Linked DNA regions of Astyanax mexicanus. The protein of the gene in region 1 purifies or fractionates together with the protein of each later gene. This does not show direct contact. Links are inferred from orthologs where the notes say so. Each region holds a gene or a part of one and is shown on either strand. Other genes may lie near its edges. The genes, in order: zc3h11a, SAP domain-containing ribonucleoprotein, ddx39b and ncbp3.

Region 1 (8,239 bases):
TTAATCAACTTATCACACAATATCTGAATGCACCCTCAACATTTAACTTATCCAGGAGGTCTGGTAATGTCAACTTTATTCATTTTATCTGAATTTGTTTTGAAATAAGGGGAAGAGATACGCCTGTCAAGGGTAAGCTTGTTTTCAACTTCTTGTACAACATACAGACTAGTACACGGCCATTTTTTCTGACCTTCATGAAGCCCATTTTGTTTTTCTTAGCAAGAAGAGCACATTAACAGTGTATTTCTATTTATTGTCCATACAAAAATAGAATTATCATGACAAGCCAATATCACAACAATCCTTGCTAGGTAGTCTCTTTTAAATGTAAAGGAAATACTTCAATTTAAAACTGTGAAAGAAACCTCTGAAATGCTTTGGGGAACCTTCAAGAAAGCCTAAGGTGCTTCACTGAGCATTTTTTTCTTAAAGGTTCTGTCAAGCATATTAAGGGGTTCCTCCACAGTTTCTTCTTGAAGAACCCTTAAAAGTTCCCATAGAAATGCATATTTTTAACATTGTGGGTCCAATCACCTGCCGTGGACACGTCGTTTCCAGGTGCACTTCTTCAGGGCTGGCTCCAAGCTGTTTGGATCCTGAAGGAACACTTGACCGATGAGTAAAGATTGAACAGGGCGAGAGACAGGCTACTTGTGGCCTAGGTTTCCTTCTGTAAGAGACCTGCTCTCCATAGACTGCTTTGTAAAAAGTGATCAGTGGTGAAAAGGTGAAAAGTCCATTTTGTGATTGTGTTTTTTTTTTTTTTTTTTTTTTCTTTTTTTTCCTCAATAAAGACTTCTGAAAGCGGAGAATGGGTTTGAGGGCACAAATATCTTCAAGCTAGATGTCGAGAGCCAAGGAGAATGGGAACAAAAATCTTGAAGGTGAGTGGGGAGGGGGCAGAAATCCTCTATCTTCAAACACAGGGTGATAATTTGGTGTGTGAGAAAGTGAGAAAATTTAACTGAGGTAGAATTTGAAATTGTGGCAAAATTCGGGATGACAAAAAAACGCCCAATGTTGGGGGGAAAAAATGTGGATGTGATATTTAAAAAAAGGGCAATCTTCAGGGGAAGCCTTTAGGCAAAGTCAGCCTGTATCCAAATCCAGCTACTTCCGGATTGAACAACTTCTTCATGAACAACCTACATTTAAAAAGAAGAAGAAAAACACTTCCCACAGGCTGGTGAAAGTGGGTATGACTGAGAAATGCACAAAAACATTAAAATGTCAAACATTTGCTATGAGGACACAAAAAATGCACATGATAAATAAACTAACCTATCATTTGGTGGGGACAAAGGTTTATAGGGTTTCAGAATTTCAGCTTTTCATAACACAGGGTCAAAAGTCACAGGACAGTGTTTTATAATATAATTATAATATACAAAATTATATAAACGGGTATCCTGAAACTTTTTCACCTTGTCGATCAATTTTTGGTTAGATTTGCAAATAGCAATCAATGTTTTTTTTTATGTGCAAAGCACACTGCACAAATAAGGAATATCCACAAATTGTAATCAGATAAAATGCTTTAAAAATTAACAAAATGTGAAACAATTGCACCCCAATCACCTACGACTAACAACCCTAACAATTTGCCCCAACAACAATGTAGAGATTTGTCAGCTGGCCTGCTCCCACTTTGATTAACTACACTGTTTAAAGAAATTAAGGGAACACTTAAATCACAAAGTGAAAACTGTTACCGATATAAATTGTGCCATTCGTTAAGGAACAAATGACACTCATACACTACTCAGTAAAGTGTAATGGGTTCACTATTCTAATCTCGTTCATATCTGCACATGTGCTCAGTGTCAAATATGGTGTTCTTTGGCGAATGCCAATCGAGCTGTATGGTGCTAGGCACGCATTGGGCTCTCATGGACCCAGTTTCTGACATTTTGATCAGAACCATGCACACCAGCAACCCACTGGAGGTCACTTTGTAGTGCTCTGCCAGTGCTCCTTCATGCTCTTAAAAGCAGATACTGGTCCAGCTCTCCTCGTGTAACTGCATGTCTATTTGTATCTTCCTTCTTGCTCTTGGGAATGTGCTGGAAGACACAGCAAACCTCTTTGCGACAGACAGCAGGTTTGAATGTAACATCCTGCAAGAGCTGGACTAACTACCTATGCAAACTGAAAGTGGTGCAGGTAATGACTCATGCTACCAGTACTGACATACTAGAAAAGAGCAAGACTAGAAAATTATCAATCAGGAAGGATTCAGATTAGACAGTATTTTTTGGGGGCTCTTTTGCTGCTGTTGTCTCCCCGCTGCACATTTCAGCAAATTAATTTGTACTAAAGCAGGTGAACATTGATGATTGGTTACATTTCCTAACTGTGGTACTGTCATATTGTGATATTTAAGTGTTCCCATAACGTTTTTGAGCAGTGTACTACAGCAAGTTATCAAAGTGATGTTCTTTAGTAAATAATATACACACGTATGGTTTAACAAAACAGAGATAAAACTAAGTTACAAGAGAATGAACAAAACAAAATGATCAGGAAAGCGTTTTTTACCAACCAGGATTACAGGGCGAATGCGAAATTCAACTTCACGGTTTCTACTGGAAAACAAAGCGGTTTAGATGTTACATAGTTAGCTAGTTAACCTTTCTGAGTTCTACAATAATAACTATAATTTACTAAGCTAACAACATTAATAACGTTACAATTCAACACACATGTATCAGCATTTACAGTAACTAGTTTACTAGGCAGATAAACAGCTAAGCTAACTTAGCTAAACTGTACTTTCAGCGCTTTATGTAACGTTAAGACTGGGGCCTGTGGTGTTTAGCTCTGTAAGCTAACCTTGCTAACTCTAACAAAGCTAAGCTAACTTAGCTAACGCTAACAACGTAACAGAAGTCGCTTAGTTAACTTAGCTAAATTAGTTGTCTACCGTCCACACTCAGCATTTACTATATAAACCGAGCCGTCTGCGGAAAAATACCCGATATTTTTCTGCAGTTTTACCAAATGTTCTTAGTATCAGCAGATAGCAGTAACTGTTATAGCTAAGTTAACAGCTAAGCTAGTTAACTCAACACCAGCAGAAAACCGCGAGCTCGCCTGTTCGTATTTAATGTATATATTCAGCTTTCAGATATACACGATATAAATAAAGAGTTAAAAATTACCCGTTTTAAGGTTTTGACTGTTAAAAACTTGATTTGTTCCTAAGTCCCCCGGTCGACGGTTCTCCCAGCCAGCTTCACTAAACGGACAAAATGGCGACTGCGCCTTCGCGCTGATAGCCCCGCCCCCGCCGGTGACGTTCCTCTGACAGCAAAGAACTTTGAATAAACGTTCATGTTTCGGCTGGATTATTTTTTTATATTTTAACCCTCTATGGCAGGGGTTTACAAACTATTTTTGTTGGGGGCCAGAAGGAGAAATATATTTGAAGTTACGGGCCACACTCTGTAATAAAACAAATAATGAAATATACCACTTTAAATAATACTTTTTTTCCTGATTATTTCATTTACACACCATTTTACTTGACTTACTATCTTTATCTTTGACAGTGTTGTGTAAACTAAGATTTTTCAAATTGATGTTTAATTTCATGATGTCTCTTAATATTAAACTCCTTAATTACGGCAACTTTTAGACTCTTTGGCCCGATTTTCTGCGCTAGAAATGCGCACCCTCTCCGCTTTTAGACTCTTTGCTCCGTTTTTGTGCCCTAGAAATGCGCATTCCTCCACTTTTAGACTATTTTGCCCTGTTTTTCTGCGCTAGAAATGCGCACCCTCTCCGCTTTTAGACTCTTTGACCCGTTTTTCATCGCTAGAAATGCGCATTCCTCCACTTTTAGACTATTTTGCCCCGTTTTTCTGCGCTAGAAATGCGCACTCTCTCCGCTTTTAGACTCTTTGGCCCATTTCTGACACCTAGCGTTCAAGCTTTGAATCTCACATTATAAAAACCTGCTTAACAGCGGGCAAACTTTCATTCTATTTCTGAAATACCTCGCGGGCCGCTCCAAAAAAGGAAACAGGCCGCAAATGGCCCGCAGGCCGTAGTTTGGACACCCCTGCTCTATGGCATGAATTATATTATATTTTTGGAGTAAAATAATAACCACTGCTGCTTTATTTGCATTATTCCCATGACAAATCTGTATATTGTTGCTCTGAGGTTACAGTTTTAGTAAAAAATGTAAATAAATAGTGACATATACTTTTTATTGTAGGTATTTATAAACAATCATTTTATTGATAGTTTTTTACATAAACATGTAAAAAAAAGTATTTGGTCTGTTTGAACTACAGCAGGTCACTCCATCACTCTCATCATTGCCTGCATTAGCCAATATAAAATACAGACAGAAAAACAGTGAACAATGAAAACCTCCCTGACTGATGCTGCTTTCAAGTGGTGTCAAAAATATTGTATTTACGAGATGAGAGCACATGAACGCCACGACACCGGCGGCTCCTAAATTCCTACTTAAGGGTTTGCAGGTGGTAATTACGACTTGACATGTGTTTGAGCGTTTTTGTTCGAGTGAAAATGGATTTACAAATTAGCTGTGCGTGTTCGTGAATCATGACACGGTAATGTTTAAAAATCATGTTTTACTTGTTATTTATTGCTTTTTGCATTAGTAAAACATGTTATATTTGTTTGTTAAGAGCAATGTATTAGAAAACAGTTGTGGACTTTTTGAAGTGTACGTATATATTTACAACCATCAGGTTTTGTGTTTGTAAAACACACTGTGTGTGTTAGATAGTCGAGTTTTGTATTTGTAAAACGTGTCGTGTGTTTGCAAGTAGTATCATATTTACAGAATACGTTTTCTTTATTTGCGTAGTTTTGGCACTAATTTAGCTCTATAATTGATAGTTTTGGTCTATTATTATAAAAAAAAATAGGAGGTTTATTTTGCCCTACTCCAAAAGAATGAAGAGAATAAGACACACATTATTTAAGCGATGTTTTAATTAGACTCTTACGTTTTTTCACCTAATTCTAGTGATTTTATACATTGGCTTATAACAATCTGCGAGTGTTCTACAATACGAACTGTTTGCATCATTTTATTTAATTTATTTATCAATTTAAATAAAGTTACTGTAATCTATTGACCTTTTGTTACTGACACACCCTCAACTGGGAAACTCTGAGTTTTATCTAAAAATAAGAGTTTGTGGTGGCGTCCATGTGCTCTCATCTGGTAAATTCAATATTTACCATACATCAGTTTAAGCCACGAGTTTCACATTAGGGGGCGTGTCAGTAACAAGCATGGATCCTGCTCCTACAGTAATATATACAGTACATATATCATGTTTTATCACTTTAACCTTATAAGTAGAAATTTCTGAGGAGGACTTTGAGGCAGCATAACTTCTACCAGTATATTGTATATTGTTATATTCACGGCCTCGCTTAACTTGTTTGCGAAGGCCACTGCAGAGCCATTGAGGGTGTGTCCGTCACAGTTCTGTTAACCAATCAAAGGACATACGTTTGCATATTAAATATTCATGAGTCGAAGTACTATCGTTCTTCCCCGCCCAATCCTCCACCAAACTAAAACAGGAGGAACCCAAATAAGAGTGTTTTCTTTGTTGAAAGGCTTGGGATCTTGGAAATCTGATTATTTATTGTCCTCTATATTTATTGCACAGATTTATGATCTACAGAGACCTTTGAAATTAGCAGTATTAATCTTCAAAGCCTCGCTCAATTGTACCTTGATCATACTGCACACTTACTGACTGTGTTTACAGAGCTGTAAAGAACTGCTATTCAAACTGTTAACTCTTTAAACTCTGTACATGGGCCAACCCTTTAGTTCTTCACCTTAATTATTATAATTTTCTGTTTCAGACTGAGCCTATGATAGAACCCTGTGGGTCTCAGCAAGTTATGTTGATAAGAATGTATAGTAGTTGTGCTGTTTTATTTAATACAGATAAAGATTAAAAAGATGTTACAGAGGGTTCAAAAGTTGAAATATACAGACCAAATCAGTTTCCCTGATTTTGCTATTTATAGGTATATATTTGAGTAAAATGAACACTGTTGATTTATTTTATAAACTACAGACAACATTTCTCCCAAATACCAAATAAAAATATTCTCATTTAAAACATTTATTTGCAGAAAATGAGAAATGGCTGAAACAACAAAAAAGCTTTTAGACCTCAAATAATGCAACAAAAAAAAAAGTTCATATTATAAAGTTTTAAGTATAAGTATAAAGTTCAGAAATCAGTATTTGGTGGTATAAACCCTGGTTTTTAATCACAGTTTTTAATGCATCTTGGCATATTCTCCTCCATCAGTCTAACACACTGCTTTTGGAAACCTTTATGCCAAACAGTTCAGCTTGGATTGATGGCCTGTGATCATCCATCTTCCTCTTGATTATATTCCAGAGGTTTTTAGATTGTAGCATCAAAGAAACTCATCATATAATATTTTGGATGAAATGAGTTGGGGAGTTGAAATAACTCTACCACTAGCTTTACCTTTGTAGAGTAAATTAAACACTGTCTGGAGTCATATACAGTTAGGCCAGTCACGATAACAACATTTTCAGGACGATATATTGTCCCAGAAATTATTGCGATAAACGATAATATTGTCATTTTAAAGCACCACTATAGAAAATGCTTTTTCCTGCCTCTGGCTAAAAAAGGAGCTTTAAGACAATGTGCCACACTAATAATATAATAGCACAATACTATTACACAATTTTACAGTTAAACTAACTTTATATTATTAAGAGCAGACATTGGGCTCCCAATATAAAAATATTTTAATATCTTAAATAACTACAACAAATAAAGTACACCCATAAATAAAAAAAAAGGCCAGAGCTCTTGCTATAAATGTATTTTTTAATGTAACTGTCAGACAAATTCTGAGCAAGAAACATCAGCATGTTTATCGTGTGGAGCTTAAGGCAGGATCTCTCTGCGGGAACTATTTTTATATTCAATATTCAGCTGGATGGTTGTGCATTAAATAAGATCTCAAGTTAGTAGTATTGCCACTGTTGTGAAACCCTGTAAACATACCGGCTGCAGACAAACCAAGTCTCCCTGAAGCTGCGGGAGTCTCCCACATTTCGGTAGTGGCTCCTTGATGCCCGCGAGTCACATATAATCTCCCGGAATTCAGAAGGAGTGCCCCAAACTTTTTTTCTGTAATCGCGTGTGGGAAAGAGAGAGAGAAAACAGAGAGGGTTCTGATTGGCCTGTTCTCTGCAAAGAGTCTGTGAGACAGCCAACCATTTTTTAGTGTGGGCGGGCAGGGTTTTCCCCCCTCCCGGACAGAATTTTTTTCAGTGAGTGAGAGAAAGCAGATCATGGGGGAGGCAATATTAATAATTATTGTAATATGATATTGTGGCGGCTCTGGGTTGTGTGTGTGGCTGCCTGAGGCATGTTTCTGTTCTCCTGTGTGCGAGGATGACAGGGGTGGGGCATCTCCCTTGGGAGGGGTTATGCAGAGAGGGTGGGCACCACTCTGGATCTGCCATCTGGGAGGCACACAGCTGGGTTGGTGGCCTTTAGTGGTGGTTTTAGCTCTCCTAGTCTTGTTAAAGACTGTAAGCGAGTGGCAAGCCTGTTCAATAAAGGAGCTGTTGAGCATTCAGCATGAGTCTCACGGGTCTTCCTTCCTCTTCCACGCCACATTTGGTGTCAGAAGTGACCCTGCTAGAAGATATTGAGCTGCTGGCAGGGGAAATCGAATGGCTGAGGAGGAAGACAGCGGACCAACGGACTAGAGGCAAGGCTCTCCAGCGGAGTGGACTCGGACCTGACGGCGCCAGCGGGCTGTTCGGAGGTCGTGGCCGGGGAGAGGACGACGCGGCGCCGACTCGCGGAACGGACGGCGCGATGATGGCGGCGCAAGCCTCCGGGATGGCGGGCTTGACGGCTCAACCCCGCCTTACCCCCTACGACGGCAGCGCTGACTGGACAGCCTTCGAAGCTCAGCTTGAGATCGTGGCGGGCGGTGCGGGCTGGACGGACGCCGAGACGACAGCCAACCTCTGCCTGGCGCTGCAGGGCGACGCGCTGAGGGTACTGATCGAGCTCCCCGCCGAGTGCCGCTGCGAGCTGCCTGAACTGACGCGGGCGCTGAGAACACGTTTCAGCCGCCAACCGTCGGAGGCGGCCGCCAAAATGCTAGTGGCGGACAGACGCCGACAGCAGGGAGAGACACTGGGCGTGCTGGCATCGGA
Region 2 (8,159 bases), about 5.2 Mb from region 1:
TGACAAATAAAATTAATCACATGCTAGAAAAATACATTACTTTAAATTCTGCTAAAAAAAACCTACCATGCTCCTCCAGATACTGCTGCAACCGAGCAATCAGATCACCTTTATTTCCTTTTATGTCAAGACCCCTTAGAGAACACTCCTGCTTCAGCTCAGCCAACTGTTTAAAAAAAAAAAACAAGAATAAATTATAGAGATTATAAAAGGTACATCAAGATATGTGAACACTAAAGCTAGTTTTCAGCATTATGATTTCAGTTTTAATTTAATTCAAATGGTTTCTTCTCATTCAACGTGATTTATCTTTGAGTTTTTTTACATTGTAAATTCAATATTAAAAAGATAGTAAAGTTATACAGGAACACATGTGGAATTATTTGGCATACAAAATGTGTTGAACAAAATAGAATAAGTTTTTACGATAGACTCATCTAAAGCCCTATCCGGACAGTATTAGTTTCTCAGGGGGTTTCTGGGGGGATTTTCTCTTTTAATGGGGGCCTCTGTGATTTTATTGCTTAATTTCACTTTGGGTGCGCGTTTCAATGGAGATCTACGTAAACAAAAGAAAAAGTGGAAATGGAGAAGCTACTAAACACACACTTGACCAAGAAAGCCAAAAAAACTCACCTATTGTTTTAATTGCAGACCGGATGCAAGAGTTTTATCACGAGTACAAGTGTGAAGTATTTTTCACAGACGTCCCCCTAAGAAACTAATCCCATTCGGATAGGAATTAAGTAGCACATTTAGCTTTGAGGACAGATCTACACACTATTGTTTTTTCATGAGGGAGAGTCACCTGGAATAGTTTTCTCAGTATCTTGACAAAAGTTGCTCTCAATTTCATGGTTTAGATAAGGGGACTGTGGAGGATTTTTATGTATTTAATATTAATCTACAATGTAGAAAGAAAGAAATAAATGAAGAAAATATTTGAATGAGAAGGTGTGATTTTTTAAAACACTGTTTTAAAAAAACTGGCTGTGAAAAGAGAAAGACAGTACCAACAGAAGGCTTAGATGTTTCTAGAATTACCATAATTATGTAGTTAACAAACAGCAAGAGCTATTAAACACGTGTAGGTCCACTATATGACTTAAAAGGAAGCATATTCATAGTAATGGGTTCAATTTACCACTGTAAATAAACCCCAAGTTGGTTATACTGGCTGTTTAGCTTGTAGACCAACAAAAACACAAACCTTTTAATCTACTGACCAAAACTGGTCAACCAGTTTAACCAGCCTGACTCGCTTGAGCTAGCCATGATATTTTTTAGCTGGTTAAGAGCTGATTAACCAGTAAAGAGTGTGTTTATCTCTATATTCTCAGATTTTCAACTACTTTAAGCATATAAAACCAACTTACACATTGTAGCTAAACTAGCTAGCACCAGTTAGTTTAGATACAATTTAAGGTGGAACTTAAATTTTTAACAAATGTTTAAAGTACAGCCCAGAAGCGACGAATAAGGTAAACCTAGGTCTGTTTTTTTTATCCACTTTTAAACTCCTCAATATTTTATTTGCAGTATGTAGAACAGCTAACAAAATAACATACACTAAATTAAACAGCTCTGTAAACATGCAGTGAGGTGTAGCCTGAACGCTAAGCTAACGTTAGCTAGCTAAGCTAAGCTAGCTAGTTGACTAGCTTTCTAAAGGTGGACTGAGCGCTATACCCTTCACTTCTCTAATAAATCAGATTAAAAACCGGTTCTATTTATCCATATAAGCACGAAATTCTCGTTTAACTCGAATAAATTAGTTTATTACCTTCAGTTTCTGGAGTTCTACGACTTCAGCCATTTTTAGCTCCTTCTCCACTACAGGCTTCTCCCCTCTTCTGTGGCTCAGAGCGCGGTCAGTGCTGCAGCGCCGCCCTCAGACTGATTCACTTCAACTACAGGAGAGGGGTTTATTTAAATCAGACCAACGATTTTACTGACAATAAACTGGTTATACGGCTTATAATAATACACATGAAATTATTACAAATATAAATGAACATAAAGATTACTTTCAATAATACTATTTCTGTGGACTGGGCATAATAAATAACACAATAACAAAACAATTTACAACAGGCCCCATCTAAAACATCTAGCTCATGACCATTATAAATTAAAAATCAGAAATAAAATGATGGATGCCCACTATATATTCTGTACTGTTCTTTCATAGCTCCATACATATGGGCCACTCCACCAAGTAGGTGCCATTTCTGTCCTCAGGAAATTACGGAGACTGCAGTTTTAGGACCCTGCAGTTTCAGGACCGCAGTTCTAGAACCCTATGTTTTCGCGACACTGCCACCTAGCGAAAATAATGACTTACTACTCCTTAATATAATATCACAGATTCAAAGGCTTATTTCACACAAATATTACCAATTCAGCTAACTACTTACACTTTATTTCACCACTTTGTCTCAAAATTTGTCTTAGAACTCCCAACCACATTTTGATATGAGAGGACAAGCCTGAGAGGGGTATAGTAAGTGTAATATAGCTAAATATATTTATTTAGACAGTGGCCAGTACACTAAGCAACATACTTTGCAGCAAAGTGTAAATAAGGTATTGCTAAACAAACCACTAACTAGGTAGTATCTTGTCTATAATCGCACAGTCCCACAGCTAACTTGCAAGATAGGTAGCTATAATTAAGCTAACTAAGTTACTATCTCAGATTCTACAGTAGTAATTATCTTCCACACAGTCTGTCTGTATTTATAAATAATTGATCTAGTGTTCGTGTTTGAAGTGCTTTCTGAAATGAACAGAGGAGCTTTATTTATTTATTTATTTATTTAGTTTAAAAAGGTATATCTGGATATCTATCTTAATTTAATATTTTTACAAACCACAGAGCAAACCGTGGTTAAAGTGAGGATTTCTACACCGTTTAAGTGATATTACATGGCCACAGTGGTGAGGTAAATGCCCTGTTTTAAGCTGTTTTAAACTCACCTTCTCCACAGCAGCAGCGGTGGGGGCTGTGACTCGCGTTGAGCGGCTCTGGGCCGTGAGGCGCTACCTGTCACGTGATCTTCGGAGCGTGATGTGATTGGCTGGTTGTTGGCTCGATTGAAGACTGAATCGATTGCTCATCCTGTGTGTCCCGGATGTTGACAGCGAATTTTGAGCGTTGTATTTTAGCAGTCGAATTTGACAGGTCGAATTTGAGCAACCTGAATTTATTTTAATTGAATTTTTAAAACTTGAATTTTTGCTTTTGAATTTTTTTACATTAAAATAAAATAAGTGAAAATGATATACTGAAAAACTAAAGTGTTTAATTCAGAGGCAAAAAAATCACATGCAATAATTCAATGTAAAATAATTCAGTGCTAAAAATTCAAGTGCTTTTAAATTTCAAAATCTGGTGACACTGTTTTACTTCCATACCACGGCTCCTCTGATCCATGACCCCCACTGGGTGACTCCTGTGGGGTGTGGTGCCTGCAGCAGGGGTATGTTTTATTTAGTGCTGGTGTTTACAGTAAAGGGACGATCAAGAAAGCAGTGAATACATTCTCCAAAAAAAGTACAGTTTATTCAGTCTTTAATAATCTGTTTGTGTGTAGGGTGCAATAAAGAACTTTTAAAATATAAACTAAATAAACTGTATATATGTATACATACACACACACACAAAACAGAGACCATTAAAAATGATGAGTTTCTTTAATTTTACCAAATTGAAAGCCTCTGGAATATAATTAAAAGGAAGATGGACGATCAGAAGCCATCAAACCAAGCTGAACTGCTTGAATTTTTGCACTAGGAGTGGTGTAAAGTTATCCAAAAGCAGTGTGTAAGACCGGTGGAGGAGAACATGCCAAAATGCATGAAAACTGTGATAAAAAACAGGGTTATTCCACCAAATATTGAATTCTAAACTCGTAAAACTTTATGAATATAAACTTGTTTTCTTGCTTTATTTAAGGTCTGAAAGATTTGCATCTTTTTTGTTATTTTAGCCATTTCTCATTTTCTGCAAATAAATGCTCTAAATGACAATGCTTTTATTTGGAATTTCGGAGAAACTTTGTCCATATTTTATAGAATAAAACAACAATGTTAATTTTACTCAAACATGAACCTATAAATAGCTAAATCAGAGAAACTGATTCAGAAACTGAACTGGTTTCTTAATTTACCACAACAGTAAAACAAAATAAGTTATGCCTAATTCACGACATCTTCAGCCAGAAGCACAACTAGATATGAAATCAGTCATAACACGACTCTTCTGTGTTCTTACATGTCTGCAGTGTTGACATTTATGGAACTACTGAAGATATTTTTTGCCAAATAAAGGGCGATTCCATATTTTACAGAATGGGTGGCAATCCTAGCACAGGGAATGTTTTTTTTTTCTGGATGACCAGCTGGAGTCTTGAGCTGTATTTTTTAGCAGGGTTTTGAATGATAAATTATAATAGTGACCCTCATCTGTATGGTAATGATTGCTGCTGTTTACCACCACCATGTTTTACATTAAGTATAATGTTATTTTTCTAAAATTATGCATTATGTTTTGCGCCAGACGTAACAGGACACACACCTTCCAAAAAGTCCTGGTAAATGTGACTGCAGATCTGTAAATGCTTTTCTGGGTTCTTTTGTGACCTCCTGGATGAGTTGTCCATGCCATGTTGGTATAATTTTCGTTGGTCAGCCACTACTGGGAAGGTTCACCAATGTTCCATGTTTTCATTTGTGAATAATAGCTCTCTGTCTGGTCCACTGGAGTCCCAAAGCTGTAAAAATGACTTAGAAACCTATTCCGTCAATGACTGTTTTTGATGATTGTTGCATAATGTATTGCTTTTTGAGATATTTTATCTGCACTATGTTGTCAGACAAGTTCTATTTAAGTGATGTCTTGATTCTACAGGTCTGGCAGTAATCAATCCTGGTTGTAGAATTTTTTTTTTACAGTTCTTCAGGAAATGCAATGGTGCTGCACACCAAAGAACTTAAACCAAAACTAGTTACAGCAAGAACTAAACTTTCCATGTCCCGATATGTATAAAATGTATTCTAGCTGATACAGATGCAGTGCTTGCTCACTTGGTATTTATTACAATGCTCTGGATTTAATATGGTGGTTAATGAAGTTTTTGTTTTTCAAGCTTGAAAGTGTATTTTTTATTTCTTTTCAGCAATATTTGGTAGAAACTGTTTGCTAAACCCATTAGTTCCAATATTAGAAAAAAGAGAGACTTGTTACAGAAACAATCAATTTATCTTTGTGTTCTGTTGACTAATAGATGCAACGTCATACTACAACGGTGGTAATTAGACTTTGCATCTAATTTGAAACATAGATCAGAGATTAATGTAAACCAAGCACTGCAGCTTTAAAAGGTTATCTAATTGACCCAAAGTTGATGCTAAAATATAGCAACCAATGCCAAAGATCACACACAGGAACTGCTGTAGAAAGGTTTCAGTTCACTTTCCAGGTGCTAGGCTGAATTCTGCCTGTCCTTCAGCAAAATGATTAACAATAATTTTTAAAAATAAGGGTTATTGTACAGTTATAGTAGATTTTTTTTATAACAACTGCAATATCCTTTATCCCACTGTCAGTACATTCCTTAACCAAGCTGGTGAACAAGATAAACACGAATAAAACAGCACTTTTTTAAACAAGTTTATGTATAATTAGCAAACATTAATAAAACGCCTCAACAGGCTTAAAATCACAGATTACAAAAATATCCTGAACTTGAAATTGAAAGGTTTTTAGCCATCCAAAATAAATATTTCTCTGAATGAAGCTGGTGCATAAGTGAAGAGATTGTTGTTAAACAATCAGACAAATTCCTGAATCCACAGTTCACCAAATTATGGAATGTCATTTGGAGAGGAAGTCTCATCTGCACAGTACAAAATATGAGCCCTGAGCTGATGGACTCTTATACGCTGGTAAAAAAACAAAACAAACTGCTCATGTCATTAAGAACATTTTCCACAGAATCTTAGAATCTCAACTTTGGCTGAACTGTTTTTCTCTTTTTAAAAGGCTTCCAGAATCTGTGAGAATAGAACTGGCGAACAGTCTCTGAGCTACAGGAGAAATTCTTCAGGAAAAGGTAAGGTTCTAGTTTGGATCCGCTGCAGCCCGTCAGTGTCAGTCTGTGTATTTCCTGCTCTGCATGTCTTACAGCCTCAGAGGGGGCATGGGCATGGTGACGTCGCGGAAGAATCGATGGACGAGTGCATTTTTGGCTGAAATTCTCTTGTTGGGGTCATAGTTCAGCATTTGCTGTGAGGAGAGGAAAAAGTAAAAATAAATCATTAAGCTTTACACACCAGAACAGCACAGATAACACTGCTCCCCAGCCTACACACTCTTAATGTGCACAAAATCTCCTTAAATGAAAAATGTAGAAACAATTCATCAAAAGATAAAACACCAGTGTGGACCAAATAAAAGGTTACACTTTGCAATGATCCCCTTACAGACCTTCAAATATTAAAATTGTTAAATTATGTAATGAAGATGGCTCAAGATTAGGTTTTTGTTGAATTTAATAGAATCTCTAATCTGTGGTGGTGTTTCAGGAAAATATGTATTTTATTTAGAATGTTTTAGGCCCTTAATTTTGAACAGATCATTCACTCATTAAAAAAAACTTTTTTTTTCTATGATTTACTTCTAACTTTCATTTTTTTTCCACAATTTAGCCAGGCCTATTGTCCAACCTATTCAGCTCCCCATCACTATTAATGCCCCAACACCAGGAGGGTAAAGACTAGCACATGCCCTCCTATGAAACATGTGAATCAGCCGCCGCCTCTTTTCAAACTCCTGTTGATGTAGCATTGCCAAGTAGCATCACAGCACGTTCCGAGGAAAAAGCAGCAACTCTGTTCAGATACATCAGCTCACAGACGTCTTGTGCTGACAGGATTTAAATCTGAGATCTCCCGATTATAGTGTCAGTGATTAGCCTGCTGGACCACTTTGTGGCCTTACATATTTATTATTTTATTATGATAAGCGTCTATTTAAAATAATCATGTTCACACAAAATTAGCCTTTTTTCCTTTCTTTTTTACACATTTGACAACTCGATACTAAAATGTGCATAATCCAGAGGATTAGGCAGTATAATATAAAGCAGATAGGACTCTCACCCCAAGCAGGTCTCTTCCATCCTCGTCTAAAGGAGGCACTACTTTAGCCAGGTCTTGTAGAGCCCACTTCGGGAAGGATGGCTTGTAGTCTGGCATCGAGGTCACTCCAGGCCAGACCGTCTCGTCAGGTGTGCCCAGCGTACGGAAAATCCGGAAAAGCTGATCGATTTCAGAATCTCCTGGAAACAAAGCCCTTCGTGTAATCTGAGAAAATTAACAAGAAAAAAAACATACAATTTAGGTTAAGTATCTACAAGCCTATGATTTGTTGTTAGAAATCTTAAAATACATATTTATTTAAAAAAAACAAAAAAACAATTACATTGCATATTTTTAATGCAAAAATTGCTTGATTGTCTTGTAACAGTGAACACTACCAACCACCTCTTACCATTTCAGCAAATATGCATCCCAAACTCCAGATGTCAACAGCTGTGGAGTAATATTTACAGCCCAGCAGAATCTCTGGGGCTCTGTACCACAAAGTCACGACCTGGAAAACAAAACCGTTCAAATATGTCTAATTAGCAACAGAAACTATGATTATTCTTCTTTTTTCTTTTTTTTTTAATGAAAAACTAGGCATTTCGGAATACGCTAAATAGCCACTGTTGTACGGTGGGTCAATAAACCATGCAGACACACACCATACAGTGATGAGCACAAGCCAAATAAGGCTCCTCTCTCACCTCATGGGTATAGGTGCGTACTGGCACGCCGAAAGCCCTGGCCAGCCCGAAATCAGCAAGTTTGATTTCTCCCTGTGCGTTAATGAGAAGATTCTGAGGTTTAAGGTCTCGATGCAGGACCCGATGAGAGTGACAGAAAGCCAAACCCTGCAGCAGCTGGAACAGGTAGCTCTGAGGATGGATGGATGGACAGATAGATATACACACACAGTTAAAAACATCCACAAATAACAGGGTACAAAAAAGACCAACATATATACTGTACAGGTGTACCAGAGTGTAATGGTTTGTGTAGATGGTAATGAT
Region 3 (7,305 bases), on another chromosome or scaffold:
TTCATCTTAAATTGAAAAGAGCACAATTAATCTTTAGTTGAAATAAGTGCATCACAGTAAACATAACTAAATATAGTACAGTGCAAAACATGCCAGTCTATCTTTCTCTGCCGTATTGCCTGAGAGTCTTAATTAGGTAACACTGTGTGCTAGAGAAAACCATCTGGACAGATGCACAGCTGTAAACAAACTCTTCAGTACGTCACTATTTCCCTCAAGACCAGTCTGCCTTGCTTGTGTTTTGTTGTTTCTTTGGACTTGAATTTGCACAGCAGGTGGAATTCTACTCTTCTCACTTTGGCTAAAGATTTCCTTCATTCTGCTCACCTTCAGACGGATGCTCAAAGCCACAGTCCACTATGGCCCTCAGAAGCTCAGGCTTCAGAAGAAAGTCCCTGAACCCTGAGGAGTGGATGGACACATAAGAGCCTTTGACCCCCTCCTTTCTTATGGTCATGGCACCACTGTCACCGGCAAGCGTTCCATCCCCGACGCCACCTGCTGCATCTACTTCATCCTCCTCATAGTCTAACAGCTCGTTCTCCACGTCGTTCTCAGTCATTCTGAAAAAGGGGAAAACACTAATTAAACATTTAGCCTGTAGATCATTACCCTGAGAGCAAAGAACGGTATACGGATATATGAATAGAATACAAACATAATATACATATTTAATTTAAGTCAAGTTTAATACAAACAATAAATATAAAATCATAATTTTGAATCAATGTTTGAATCAAAGTTTACACATAAATAAATTCTGGCAATCAACATTGTTTCAACATATGTAAATGTTGATTCGGGAGCTGAGTGGTACAGCAAGCTAAGTGCTGCAACTATGATCAGGAGATTGCTGGTTTGAATCCAGGACATGCAGCTTGCCATCTGCTGCCAGAGCCCCGAGAGAGCACAACTGGCTTTGCACTCTCTAGGTGGGTAGATGGCGCTCTTTTCCCCTGATCACAGAGACTGACATGACTTTATTCCTTTCAGCAATATTTGCTGCACTCTAAAAAACTATAAACTATCTACCTCAGTAACTGCTGTGATTATATATGTTCTATATGTTACAGTATGTTACACATCTCTGCACCTTATCCTCACTAAACACTCTATTATACCGTATCGGTACTGCACTGTCCTGTCTTTAAATTGTCTCGTCTTTTGTATTTATTGTATTTATTATTATTTAGTGTTATAATTTTATCTGTCGTCACTCCTGCACTTTATGTTGTCTATTGCTTGTTGTTCTATGTTGCACCATGGTTCCGGAGGAACGTAATTTTATTAAACTGTGTACCTGTACTCAGATGTAATGACAATAAAAGCCTTGACTTGACTTGACTTGACTTGATCAGCACAAGGCACCTGTGAGCTGATGTATCAGAATCAAATTGCTGCGCTTATGCTCTGATAAAATACTGACTGATACTATATTAGGATACTGATATATAGCTGCTCAAAAAGGCACGAACAGTAAAACTGATGTAAGTAAACATCTGCACTGCAAAATCTAAACATGAAGGGAAGTCATACAATATTATATTGCCCAAGCAATAAGAAGATTTTGTAAAGAAACATTATTCTGTAAGTATCAACATAACTGTGTTCAAATTGTTAAATATAAATATTATTTTATGATACACAAAATGAGTATTTCTCGAATTGTATTATGATTAGGCATTTAAATGTGTTGATATTTACTTAATTAAAGGATCAATATTTGCAGATATCATATTCTTTATTACAGTTTAAGACAAGCCTAATATGCACATATTCCTTAAAAGCTATTTTGCCATCAATTTGTAGCTTTTACAGTAAAGTATTGACATTTTAGAGACTCTGTATTGTATGCTAAGATACTAAGGTTCTGTTTAACCTGTATTAACTATTTAGTAGGGATGCTAGGGGTGGGCAATATTATATCGTATACAATATATCGTGACACAGAAATATCGTGATATTAAAAAATCCATATCGTGATAATAGGGCTGTTCTGTCTTAAAAGTAGTCTATTATTTACTGTGAAGCTTTAGGTGTATTTATTGTATAATTGTTTTAGTTTGCAGTTTATATGCATGCACTAAATATTCTGCAATATTTTTGCTGCATTATATTATTTTATGCTATATTATTTATTTTGCCACATTATGATTATGCTGTTATACTCTTATACTATATTCCTGAAATTAATTAATTATTTTAGTTTTCCTACATCGCCAAGTATATAGTTACCGCAAAACTACCCTGAAATATCGTGATATTATTTTATAGACATATTGCCCACCCCTAAGTGATGCACAATGATATCGGCCAATACTATTATTTTTTTAGAATATTCAGCAATGATATGGAAATATGGCTATTATTTTAAACCAATACTTACTTACATATTTATTGTATTCCAGAATTTTTTATTATAAATGTGTATATCGGATATAGACATCGGCCCAGAATTTTCACATCGCTTCGTCCCTACTATTTAGAAAGATAAAAAAGAAGATCATATGATTAATTATCTGTAAATTAGATTTAGTAAATATTTGGTAAAATCTCAATTGCTAATGTCATCACTAGTCACAATCCCAAACCAAATAAAAAAAAATATAAAATTTTTACATAAAAATATAAAAAAACATCTGAAACTGAATATAAATTAGTTAATATTATTTTTTTATAGCTTCTCCAAGTGTCCTGTATGAGACTTTAAAGCCCTCAAATTTTCAGAATGTAATTAAGTTATTTTACTGCAGAAAAAAGGGTTTTGTATCACCTGCACCTGTAGCTCGTATACGGGAGAAGGCATTAGGCACATATGGCAACAACCAACGTGTTTTGCTATTTAAAAAAGCAGTAATAATATTGTACCATAGCAATTTTATATGAAAATATAATCAATACATATATAATCAATACTGCACAGCCTTGATGGGCAACATTAAATATAATACCCACAGCTGACGGATATGACCATATTAATTATAAAAATGATTGTAATGAATGGATGAAGTTTGCAGGTTTCAGTATATCAGCTGCACAGGGCTGCTGTGTATATATCTGCAGCAGCATGTGTTTACAGAGCAGCTCACACGCGCTGCTGCACTACAGACTGGTGCACAGAACAACACAGCCAGCGCTGCATGTGTTTAACCGCATTTTATCAGATATAAACCCTCATTTACCTGGATTAACTGTGAGACACTCCGCGGTGTGTTTTTATTTCACCTGCTCGCTGCTGCTGCTCCCCTGCACGTCATTTGCTCTGAGACGAAGGGCCTCCCTCCCACCAGCAGCTAGAGCTGTCCTCCGCTCCGCCTGAGCTCAGCTCCGCAGGCCGGCTTCTGCTCTCAGGGATCTGTCGCTCAACTCCTCCGCTTTCCAGCTCGGCTTTAGCGACACTACTGGATTTAAGAGCTTGTTTAGACGGTAAGTTAAGTGGGTGGAAACCGCAGAATGTCGGGTTTAGTTGTGTTGGTAAACACGTGTTTAGGTGTAGTTGATAGCTAAAGTTGGCTTCTTAAGCGAAATATTCGTTCCACCTTAAATCGTGCTGTATTTACACGGGCAGCCGTTGAGGCACGAGACTATAACTGCTGAGTCTTTTAAGGTGGAACTGAAGTTTTCGTCTTGTCGTGGTTAGCATGGGTGCTAACTTCTTTTCTTCTCAACTTGGATTAATTACTTTAGTTAGCATAAGTCACACATTTGGATCACTTGTGTGTTTTAAAATTGTTTTATTATCTACATTTTCATTCTTTTTTTCTTTTTCTTCTTTTCTTTTTACAATAAACCAATGATAATACAAGTTATTAAAATTTAACTGGAACTTTCCTTCCACGTAAAAAAAAATCCAGCTGTTGCATACAGTTGTCATATAGTTTGCTATATTAAAGGTTTCATGCCATCGTTTTTTCATTTATTTTATTTTATTTCTGGTTGTGGTCTTCAGTATGAATAAAAAAAATAAAAAAATCTGTTGTTTTAGTATTTAGCGGCTTTAGTCCGGTGGAGGAGTGGGAGGGAGAAACATGTGTTGTTACTCTAGTCTCAGAGTTTCTGTAAAACACAAAATCCACTGGAGATCCTATGTAAACTATAGTTACACAGAGGTGGGTAACGTTAGTCCAGTTCCAGAAAGTAAAAATCCATTTTTTAAATGTTTAACTAGTGTAAACAGAACTGTTTTTAAACATACACTGACCTATCTCAGTTGGACTTCGCTGGAGGTGTACCATAGACAGATTTTAACCATTTTTCCTTATGTCTGTATACTTCCGGAGTTTACTATAGCAAGTAATTGTAACGTTATAGTGTTTATGGTTCAAGAAAACATATAGTCACAATAATGCATGAATTAATATCCTGTTATGCCTCATCGCATATGCTCAAAGTAATTGTAAGTGGATAAAATGTATATACAGAATGTAGAAATGTATATAGTGTTATAGTCACAAATGTGTGTTTACAGCTAATTAGTTAAATATGGTTTTATGTAAAGTTACTTACTGGTACATAAGTTTGTGTGTATTTGTTTTAGTAATGCTGATGTGAACATATTAATAATTATCATGAAGTAGGATTGTCATGTATAACTTTACAAATTAGTATTTTAATTTAATGTTTGATGATGTGCATTTATTTCCACTCTTGATGTAGGACCATGTCTTGCTTCCAAGGAGATATAAACTTCTGTCCTGAATGTGGTAATATTCTACCAGTCCCTGGAATTCAGAATACCATTACATGTCCTCGGTGCTCATTCGACATTCCTGCCAGTGGTGAGATTTCATTTTGGCCTAAAGATATTTAGATATACTTAGTGGCCACTATTAGAAAAACCTTCATGTTGGGGGAAACCGGCCAGCATGGCCAGCTTAAATCAGCTTGTTGATCAGCATATAGTATGTTTTGTTTGATGTTTCAGCTGGTCAACAAACATGATCAACCTGGCCAACCTTACCAGTATGTTTTTGACTAGATAACTGGCTTGTCAACAATTTTGATCATCAAATATCAGCATAGATCATCTAAAGCCAGACACCAGTAAAAGCTGGTCTGCAACTGGATTTTTGATCAAGCTGATTTGACGTTCCACCTTGCTGGTGTACAATAAAAGACCATAGCCCATCTGTTGATGGACTGTTCTTGTTATTTTGTAGTGGCAGAGCTACTACCTAGCAGTGGCATTAATTTGAACATGTCATCACCATCCAGATCCAATTAACGTCTGCTCAGAGTTATGTGGTAGGTGTACCCTCATAGCGTGTTTGGAGAAAGAATGGACAAGGAAGGAGTTTGTAATTAAGTAGACAATCTGAGAAATATACAGGGGGATTTTTACCTACAGCCAGGACAATGTTTAAGTCAACTTTTTTTTCTCCTCAGGTTTTGCTGGGCAGGTTATCAAGTCATCTGTAGTATTTAATCCGTTGGTGCAGAGTTCTACTACTGTGGAGAGTGAGGAGGATTCTGAACTAAAAGGCCCTGTGGTAAGTTGCCTAAATTTAACACTAAAAAATTTTGTTAAATAATCTTTGCCCTGCAACAGTTGTTTAAAGAGTGAACAGTGGACAAAAAACATTAGGGAATGTGAGCATTTATAATTGTTATCTTCTTCTATGCAAATTCTTCACCAGGTGGACAGAAGGTGTTCACGCTGCAATAAAGAAGGAATGGTATACCACACAAGGCAAATGAGATCAGCAGATGAAGGCCAAACGGTGTTTTTCACGTGTATTCACTGCAGGTAATGTCAGAGTGACTCCATTAATAACTCATACTGCTAAATGCATTGATTTCTCTGAGGTGCAGGGGTGCTCTGAACAGAGTAAGGTTTATATTGATTCTTTTTCCACAAATCAAGGCAGAGTGAAAATGAGAGAGGCAAGAACATCTGTGTTTAAGTTTCAATTTGTCATTCCACTTACATGAACAAGACAACATACAGTTTTTCTGCCACAATCTATAAGAAATCACAGAAATCTACAGAAGCTAATTTCTTTTTTATTTCAATGTTTACATTACAGGCACCAAGAGAAGGAAGATTCATGAGATGTTTGGTGTTGTCCGACTTGTATTTGATCATTGATCAACAACGTGAATCCAATATTGTGTCTGCACAAGATGTAATGGAAAAAGACGCCACAAGGACTTGGACATTTTTGCTGTACATTCAAAATGTTTTGTATCAAAAAGAAATGAATAAAAAATGTAATATAAAAAATGTGAGAAGCACAAGCATATGTCTTTCTTTTTACCTTGTTATTTCTGTCTATATCTGCAGTAGACATTTGTAGTAATAGCAGTCTTGTGTTCAGTGTTTTGATTTTAAGTTAGAATAAGTATGAGGGCAAGTTAAATATCAAAGAAAGCAGCAGAATCCTTAATTAACTACACTTTAAGGTTGCTGTGATGGGGATAATCAAGATGTTTTTTGGCAAATGTGAGATGGGCTGTTGTGTTCTTTTTGTTTTTAGTATATTTCGAAAGTATTGTGTTTTTCTTTTCATTTATAGTTATTGTATTTTCTGGCTACATCAGCTAAGCCTTACCTTTTCAAATTCATACAGTTTTTTTCATTCATACACATTCATAGAGTGTTTCATACATGACTCCTTTTTAAACGAGTTCAGTAAAGGGCAGTCAACTGGAACCTAACTTGCTTACACATACCAGTCCCAAAACGCATAGTAAAAACGTATATACATAAAAATGCAGCTCTGGAAACAAATAATAGACCACTTAGGCGGTCTGAACTGATTGAATTTTGGTTATCCAAAAGCTGTGTGTAAGACTGGTAGTAGAGAACATGCCAAGATGCATGAAAACTGTGATTAAAAAACAAGGTTAATCCACCAAATATTGATTTCTGAACTCTTAAAACCTTATGAATATGAACTTGTTTTCTATGCATTATTGAGGTCTGAAAGCTCTTTTCTGTTATTTCAGCCATTTTTCATTTTCTGCAAATAAATGCTTTAATAATTGTCATATTTTATTTTGGAATTTGGAAGGAATGTTGTCTGTAGAATAAAACAACAGTGTTCATTTTACTCAAACATATACCTATAAATAGAAAAAACTGATTCAGAAACTGAAGTCACCTCTTATCGTTTTTTCTAGAGCCGAATGTATATAGTTATGAATTTAGAAAGAAAGAACAAATGTTCATAAAAAGAAGCGTAGAACTGTTGGCTTTAGGGAAACATAAAGTGCAAAATAAATGTAATACTTATATGTAGGATTTTAAAATTTTTAAATCGTTATTTGGAAATAATAACATTTATAGAAATTAAGATAATGCTC
Region 4 (7,256 bases), on another chromosome or scaffold:
TCTTTGTTGCAAAAACAAGTTCTAGTCTCTCTGGAAAACCTTTACGGATACACTATGGGTTGTTTTACTAACAGAGTTTAAGCATCATCATAGATAACACTTCCTCTGAATTAGGAATCTCACTGGGAACTAACTGACTAATAACTTTAATCAGCTCCCAGAGCATAAGTGAGGTCAAATACTGATGTTGGATGGTTAGTTTTATTTTTAAAGTTACTCATTTCATAGGTGATGGATGGAGCTCCATGTCTTAAGAAGACACAGTTCCTCTGCTCCACACTACAAAGCTGGGGGTTTAAAATCCATCTAGCCAATACTTGGCATCAGGAATGTTGAACCAAGGCTCATAAATAGCCGTGCCATTTAAAAATGCTTTTCTATTGAAGAACAGGTCACTGAATTTTCACATCACATAGGACAAATGGTCTTTCATCATTACGCCTACACAAACACTAATGCCATTCAATTTCAGCTTAGCTCAAGTGGAGTACTTACCTTTTTTCATCAGATCTCTGTCCAGAACAACATTTCTCTGAGCAAGATTGTCCTCTGCACGAAAGTGGAATCTCCTTGCTCTTTTTTCCTTCTTCTCAATTGCCTCCTAAACAAATAAAGTTCAAGAAAATAAATGACAAGCAATATTAAGAGAGCTTTTTAATGTCACAATGGAAACAGAAGACCCTTACCTTGGACGTTACATCAATCCCAGTGATAAATGTGCCAGCCTTGTTTTCATATCGTCTGCTTGTGTCCTGAGGAAAGCACAAAATAGTAAACAACATAGCCAGATTTTTGAACTATACAGGTAATGTTTCCTATCTGTATAACAGTCACTATCAAATGATTTTTACTAATAATAAGATTACTGATATTTAAAACTATAGCAGAATCACAGTGGAGACATCTGCAATCACAACTACTATTACAAAACGTAATTACTAATACCTCTAATTGCACTTTACTAGTATGAATGTAATTACAGAAGGAAGTATGAGAGATTCCATGTAAATCTAAGGTAACATATGATTGGGTAAAAGTACATTAAGAATGTGTCACTGTATAAATATAGCTGGCTAAAATCTCTTTATTATGAGCTGGGCAATATATTGATATTTGATTGTACAATGATACACTTTCTTATCATAGACAACATGCTTTAATATGCATATACAAAAACTAATGCATAAAAGCACTGACCAAGCTGCACTTTTTATTGCAAAGTTTAAATGTTTCATTTTGTGATGTGCAGAAAAAAACTGAATAAAAATGTCATGCTTGTTTTGCTACAGATGGAGTGATGCACCATTTTTGATGAAGTGATATAATATTTTACTATTTCTCCCAACTCTGTCAGTGCATGATCACATACATCACAGGTGGTGGGTTTTATGCTGTTCATATTGATACCGAAGGCAAGTCAAGAGGCTTTTATTGTAACTGTATAGGAATTATATTGCATCGACCGAAACTAAAAATATGATATAAATTTTGGTAATATCGTCCAGTCCTTTTTTATTAATCTTTAGATCTGACATCATTACAACATTTCATAGCCGATATCTTTGCAAGCCTATTTCTGCCTCTTGGAAAAAGTAAGGGCCTCCACTAACTAATAATTATTAGATGTTAAGTCATTATTTTATGAAATGCCAAGTCATTATTTTGAGGTACTAAGTCTGGGGTAGTATTTCACATTATGACTTAGCATTAGGGTTGTGCCATATCATATCGTACGCAATAATATCGTCAACATTTTTTTATATTGTGAACGATATTATACCCTGAAATATCGTGCCATATTACCCACCCTAATTATTACATGAGGGTACTACTTTTTTGCTGTTTTTAGCAAAGGAAAATTTCTCACTCTTCTCATTTTCCATAATCTACTAGAGACAGATTACATCTGTCCAGTAACGTTACCATTCATTTACTTTTACCCTGGATATCACTGGTGTATTTATTGACTAAAACAGCTTGCCATATGATGCTACAGCACTAACTTAACTGATCTAAAACTTTTAATATAAAATCCTTAATACTTTAATACTTCAATGAGTGAAATAAATGTTTATTATAAGGCAAGAAAGGAAAAAGAATAAGTTAAATACTATAATATTATAAAAGAACCCAAACCCTCAGAAACACAAGAAAGAGAAGTTAGCCATCTGGCGAGCTAGTAGCCAGGTAACTAGCTTAGACCAAGCTAACTATGTAAAACTGACAACACACAATATAATAACTCACTAGAACATTATGAAATAAAACTGCTTAATAACGAAAACGGCAAACGAAGGCTTTAAAATATAGATTATTTAATTCCTAGTTTTCTGTTAAGCATCTTTCATAATCAACAACTGAACATGACTAACGATAGCTAGTTAGCATAGGTGAGTAACCTAGGTCTAGAAAGTAAAATTCCACCCCAGGATTTTGTATCAAACTGCCTGAACCAACCGCAGAGCAGACGAGGCGGTTGGTTCAAAACACTGGGCTGGATTTTTACTTTCCCGACCTGGGTTACCCACCTCTACTAGCTAGCAGGGCTACATAGCATTACAAGCATTAGCATCAAAACTTGGGACTTGAGCTAACGTTACAACACGTTATTATAGCTAGGTAATTCATAGCGTGTTAGTTAGCTAACTAGGTTAGCTACAGAGCGCCGCCTAAGCTTGTTAAACAACATAATAAAATCCCTCATTTACGGATGGAAATGTAGCTAACACTGTCAAGCTGCGTAACGCATGAGACCCAGTAAGCTAAGCTAGGCTAGTTAGCTATGTTATATGACAGTAGACGTGTCTGTGTAGTGTTGGTTAGCTAGCTAGCTAAGAACGCTTATCCTCCAGTTCCCGTAGCGGCCGAGCTGCGACATCCATCGGCCTCCTTCAGCAGGACACACCGCGGTCTAACTGAGGCCTAGCTAAACTCACCGGTAGCAGTTCCTTCAAACTTCGGCGGACGGGGATAGACTCGAACTCGACCTCGCCTTCCTCCACTTCCATGGGCTCCGCTTCTCTGGCATTTCGATCCGAGTCGGAGTCTGAATCCGAGTCCGAGCGGTCCGAGGCGCTTTCGGGTTTCACGGACACCCGCAGACTGCGAACAGCCGCCATGACATCCAGCTAGCTAACAACGGGAGCTCCGCGCTAACGTCTGTCTCATTGAACACAGCGGAGTAAAACCCAGCGAGCTAAGCTAGCGAGCTAACTAACGCTGCTATAGCGGACACAGAGCGCAGGCTCGGGCACCACAGGCTTCTAGCGCGCCAGCACTCTACTGTAGCAGCCAGATGGAGAGACCACTTGTTAGACAGAGAGAAAGAGAGAGAAAACGTAGCAGATTATTATAACCCGCCCTCTCCACAGTAGTACGGTACAGAACCTCTAAACTGACATTATGTAAAAGAAAATAATAATAATATTAAAAAAAATAGCAATGCGTGACAATCACTTATTAAGGTGTGGGAACGAGATAATTATGTCCTGGCCATATAAGTCGTTCCAACGCTTTAATTTTAAGTCGTGGGCATGCATTAGGATCTTCTGTGGTCATTAGCATAGTGTAGCCTCTACAATAGCTATCAAGGTATACAAATAATAATATAATAATAATAATAATAATAATAATAATAATAATAATAATAATAATAATAATAATATAATAATTATGTTTAACATATAATGTTATTATAACCTGCCCTATTTACATGAGTACTGTATGGGGCCCCTGAAGTGACAAAATGTAAATATATATATATATATATATATATATATATATATATATATATATATATATATATATATATATATATATTAGGATCTTGTTCCCATGCTTTATTAAGTTCTGGCCACAATTTAGGATCTCATTTCTATGCTTCAGTAAGTTGTGGCCATGAACTGGATCTCGTTTCCATGCTTTAACAAGTTGTGTCTATGCATAAGGATCTAGATTCCACGCCTTAATAAGTCATGACCATTTATACAGATCTTATTCCCACACTTTAAAAAGATGTGGCCACAATTTAGGATCTTGTTTTTTCGCTTTAATAAGTTGTGGGCACAATTTAGAATCTTGTTACCATGCATTAAAAAGTAGTGGCCATGCTAAAGGATCTTGTTTTCATGCTTTAAGAAGTTGTGGCCATGACATATGATCTCATTACCATGCTTTACTAAGTTGTGGCCATGCATTAAGATCTTGTTCCCACGCCTTACTAAGTTATGGCCACAAGTCAAGATCTTGTTTTCACACTTTAATAAGTTGTGGACATGCATTCATTCAAGTGTACTGTATAAGAACACTTTATGGGAAACAAAGATGAAAAAACATATGCAAAATACAATTTTTATTCTGGAAAAATCAGCAGTCATAAAGATACATTTAAACATATAGCAGAACAATCATAGTGAAATAAATTAAAACATCTGAGGAATCATTTAGACCACAAGAAACCAAAATATTTCTCTATACATCTTTCCCAGAGAATATACAGACATTCATTTTCTTTCTAAAACAGTGTCACACATTAGAGCTGTTTATAAACATGTGCGATTTTAAATTCTGTTTGGCCATATTCTGATTTTCTAATCCTGCATTAACAAATTTACACAATACATATACATACAGGTGAGATCATCCTACATTTGTACAGCAAGGTCAGTCATGGAATAATGAATTAACATACACAGTACAGCCAATAAAAATGCAAGTGGTACTGAAACTCTTGGTCTGTTGCGCTGCATTTGCAGAAAGGCTGACGAGATCCAGCCATGTGGATTTTACAGACGATGTGAAGAGTTGTGCAGCTTCTGGAATGTCATGTCTGTGGATGAAGGTAGGTGTTTTAATGAGCTGCAACAAGGCATTCTTGGGTAAAAACATCAGACATGGTTGTATTAGCAGCATACCTGTCAAGTTTTGGCCGGGAAACTACCGTATTTTACTCCTCTTTCCCGCCGTCCTCCCGTATTAGTATTTTCCAGTAAATTTCCCGTATTATATATAAAAAAAAACTTTACTAATGAGGCGACAGGGCACTGGTCACTGTGTGTCTCTTAACCAATGGTAGTGCCGGTTCAAGGAGAAAGTCCCGCCTTTCAGGTGAAACAGCCAATCAGGTTCCTGGTTTCGCGGAGCGCAATGTAGGAAAGCCCCGCCCCCCTCGCTGTGAGAGCTAGTCGGAGCAGCTGACGTTAAAGCATATCTGGATATACAGCGAGGTAACGGAGCTAAACATGTAAACTATGATGACGTTGTTTCTGAAACAGTCGGATCAAACCGACTGTGTGCTTAAGAAAATACAGCTTGTGACTCAGTTAGCTTAACTTTACAATTAGATGTTCAACCTGCCCTGATCAGCCAATAACTATTTCATTTTCAAACTGTGTTTATTAATTTAGGTTTGCAGGCCTACTGTAAGCTATAATGAACGAAACTGTATTTATTTTATTAGTTCAGGGCTAGTTTAAGAGTATTGTGGTGTAATTTAATATTTAGAAGGGGCAAAAGAGATGGTTGATCTGGAGAGAGAAAATGTGAAGAGGGCTGAAATTAACTGACTGACAGGACTGGACTGATCAATAGAAAGAAGTATTAATTAAATTATTAATTGTTTAGGCCCCTTTGGACTAATATTTACTTATGCAATATATCTGGTCCATGTCATTTTTGTAAAAGCTGATGATTTCATGTAAATGTCTAGAAAAGGGTTTAACTTAGGCAGTATTATAAGAATTACATATGTAGGAATGTCCACAACATTTCAGTGTCAACAAAGATAGACCTGTCAGATTTTGATAATCTAATTGTAGTTTGTAAAATGTTCCCAGGTGGTTATTTAGATTTATTGTAAACCTGTCTTAAAATATAAGGGATTCTGAACCTCGGTTGGGTTGGTGGGCGACTCGAAGCAGGTGACGGAAAATTTCCCTTATTTTTAAGTCCAAAACTTGACAGGTATGATTAGCAGATTTGGTCAATTCATAGTGACGACTTGAGGCCAAACAAGCGGCAAACAGTAAAACATATTTATGATTCATCAGCCTGTAAAAAGACACTATCCAAAAACAGCTAATCTTAAGTAAGTTATGGCATTTCTGCTTTTATTTGACTTGATATAAACAAATACTGTGCTCAAGTTTGTTTTGTGCATCGAATACAGCACTTGTGAAACTAGAATAAATACTATGAGTGGTATAAGAAGGTCTGTAGTTGGTGGAGTATTAACTGAGTAAAGTTAATCTCTTTAGAACCACTTTGTGCAAATGCTGGAAAATGTCTAATAGCTGAATAACTAATAGCTTTAAACCCAATTTCACTGTAGTTGTTTGAGTTGATGGATGAAAGACATTGGCTGGAAACCTTTAGATTGGAAAGTTTGGTGGTTTAACATGGTCAAGAAATGTCTTCCCTCGACGTTTTAGCCACAAAATGAGGTTTTTAATCTCAGCAATAAGAATTTTTCACATTATAACACATTTATAACATTTTTTAAATCAATTTGGTTTTAGATTTCAGTTCAAGCTCACCTGATTTAAAGCTGTAAGAGTAAAGCCCCTTCCTAAAGTTACCGCCAATTAAAACATTAAAATTAAAACAGAAATTAATACAGTCTCACTAGTTGTAACAGTGTTGGAGAGAGTTGAAGCACACAGTGGGAGAATTTTGTAAATATGATTTTAAAAGGTGTAGACATTTTCATTTTCTATGTGTACTAAAATATTAATTAAGTCTATTGAGTTTTCACTGGTAATTTTTAACATTACCTTAAAATTTATAATGCTACTAGACCCTGTATTGTAAGCCCACACTTCAGTTTTTCACTCTTATAACTATTATTATTTATTATTATTATTTATTATAACATCAGATTTAAAGTCCCTATAATATAAACCTGTGCATCTCCACATAGTTTCTGCATTATGAATAATAGCTGAATAATTAACTTAGCACTCATAGAGACGCACTGATGCCATAGACTCTTCATTTTGCGCACCTGTTGTTTCTCTTTTGGATGGTGTCTGTATTGATTATTGTTCATTGTATTAATTCTAGTATTAATTTATTGGGTAAATAAACTCTTATTGCCCAGATCAGGAGCTTTTAAATTTTTAATAATTTGTACAGGTGCCTAAAAGTGTGCACAGTACTGAAACTAAAATTAAACAACATTCTCATAGACCCCATTTATCGCTTTCTGTGTTAATGTGAAAAAACAGACTCAACTGAGTAATGTACTACAATGTATTCCA

What was found.
Region 2: the proteins of zc3h11a (region 1) and SAP domain-containing ribonucleoprotein purify together in Homo sapiens (affinity purification with mass spectrometry; 3 studies listed by BioGRID and IntAct, counting the BioPlex papers as one, with this or other methods). This does not show direct contact. The link is inferred for Astyanax mexicanus from reciprocal best matches to the Homo sapiens genes ZC3H11A and SARNP.
Region 3: the proteins of zc3h11a (region 1) and ddx39b purify together in Homo sapiens (affinity purification with mass spectrometry; 4 studies listed by BioGRID and IntAct, with this or other methods). This does not show direct contact. The link is inferred for Astyanax mexicanus from reciprocal best matches to the Homo sapiens genes ZC3H11A and DDX39B.
Region 4: the proteins of zc3h11a (region 1) and ncbp3 purify together in Homo sapiens (co-immunoprecipitation; 3 studies listed by BioGRID and IntAct, with this or other methods). This does not show direct contact. The link is inferred for Astyanax mexicanus from reciprocal best matches to the Homo sapiens genes ZC3H11A and NCBP3.

The regions. Positions count from the first base shown.
Region 1 is NC_064431.1:18,519,365-18,527,603, forward strand, and holds the start of zc3h11a (zinc finger CCCH domain-containing protein 11A), read right to left. Parts: upstream 3,293-8,239; 5' UTR 3,165-3,292; intron 2,589-3,164; 5' UTR 2,546-2,588; exon of another isoform or gene 844-2,545; 5' UTR 538-843; intron 1-537. UniProt on the Homo sapiens protein: Through its association with TREX complex components, may participate in the export and post-transcriptional coordination of selected mRNA transcripts, including those required to maintain the metabolic processes in embryonic cells.
Region 2 is NC_064431.1:13,306,448-13,314,606, reverse strand, and holds the start of SAP domain-containing ribonucleoprotein, read right to left. Parts: upstream 3,061-8,159; 5' UTR 2,980-3,060; intron 2,234-2,979; exon of another isoform or gene 2,200-2,233; intron 1,911-2,199; 5' UTR 1,817-1,910; coding exon 1,784-1,816; intron 167-1,783; coding exon 67-166; intron 1-66. Other genes in the region: cdk2 (cyclin-dependent kinase 2), read right to left, coding at 6,185-6,289, 7,165-7,368, 7,556-7,657, 7,854-8,024. UniProt on the Homo sapiens protein: Binds both single-stranded and double-stranded DNA with higher affinity for the single-stranded form. Specifically binds to scaffold/matrix attachment region DNA. Also binds single-stranded RNA. Enhances RNA unwinding activity of DDX39A.
Region 3 is NC_064410.1:37,556,035-37,563,339, reverse strand, and holds the start of ddx39b (DEAD (Asp-Glu-Ala-Asp) box polypeptide 39B), read right to left. Parts: upstream 3,273-7,305; 5' UTR 3,183-3,272; intron 564-3,182; 5' UTR 563-563; coding exon 328-562; intron 1-327. Other genes in the region: polr1h (DNA-directed RNA polymerase I subunit RPA12), read left to right, coding at 4,661-4,778, 5,386-5,489, 5,637-5,746, 6,027-6,051. UniProt on the Homo sapiens protein: Involved in nuclear export of spliced and unspliced mRNA. Component of the TREX complex which is thought to couple mRNA transcription, processing and nuclear export, and specifically associates with spliced mRNA and not with unspliced pre-mRNA.
Region 4 is NC_064424.1:10,356,157-10,363,412, reverse strand, and holds the start of ncbp3 (nuclear cap-binding protein subunit 3), read right to left. Parts: upstream 3,296-7,256; 5' UTR 3,120-3,295; coding exon 2,937-3,119; intron 753-2,936; coding exon 687-752; intron 602-686; coding exon 496-601; intron 1-495. UniProt on the Homo sapiens protein: Associates with NCBP1/CBP80 to form an alternative cap-binding complex (CBC) which plays a key role in mRNA export. NCBP3 serves as adapter protein linking the capped RNAs (m7GpppG-capped RNA) to NCBP1/CBP80.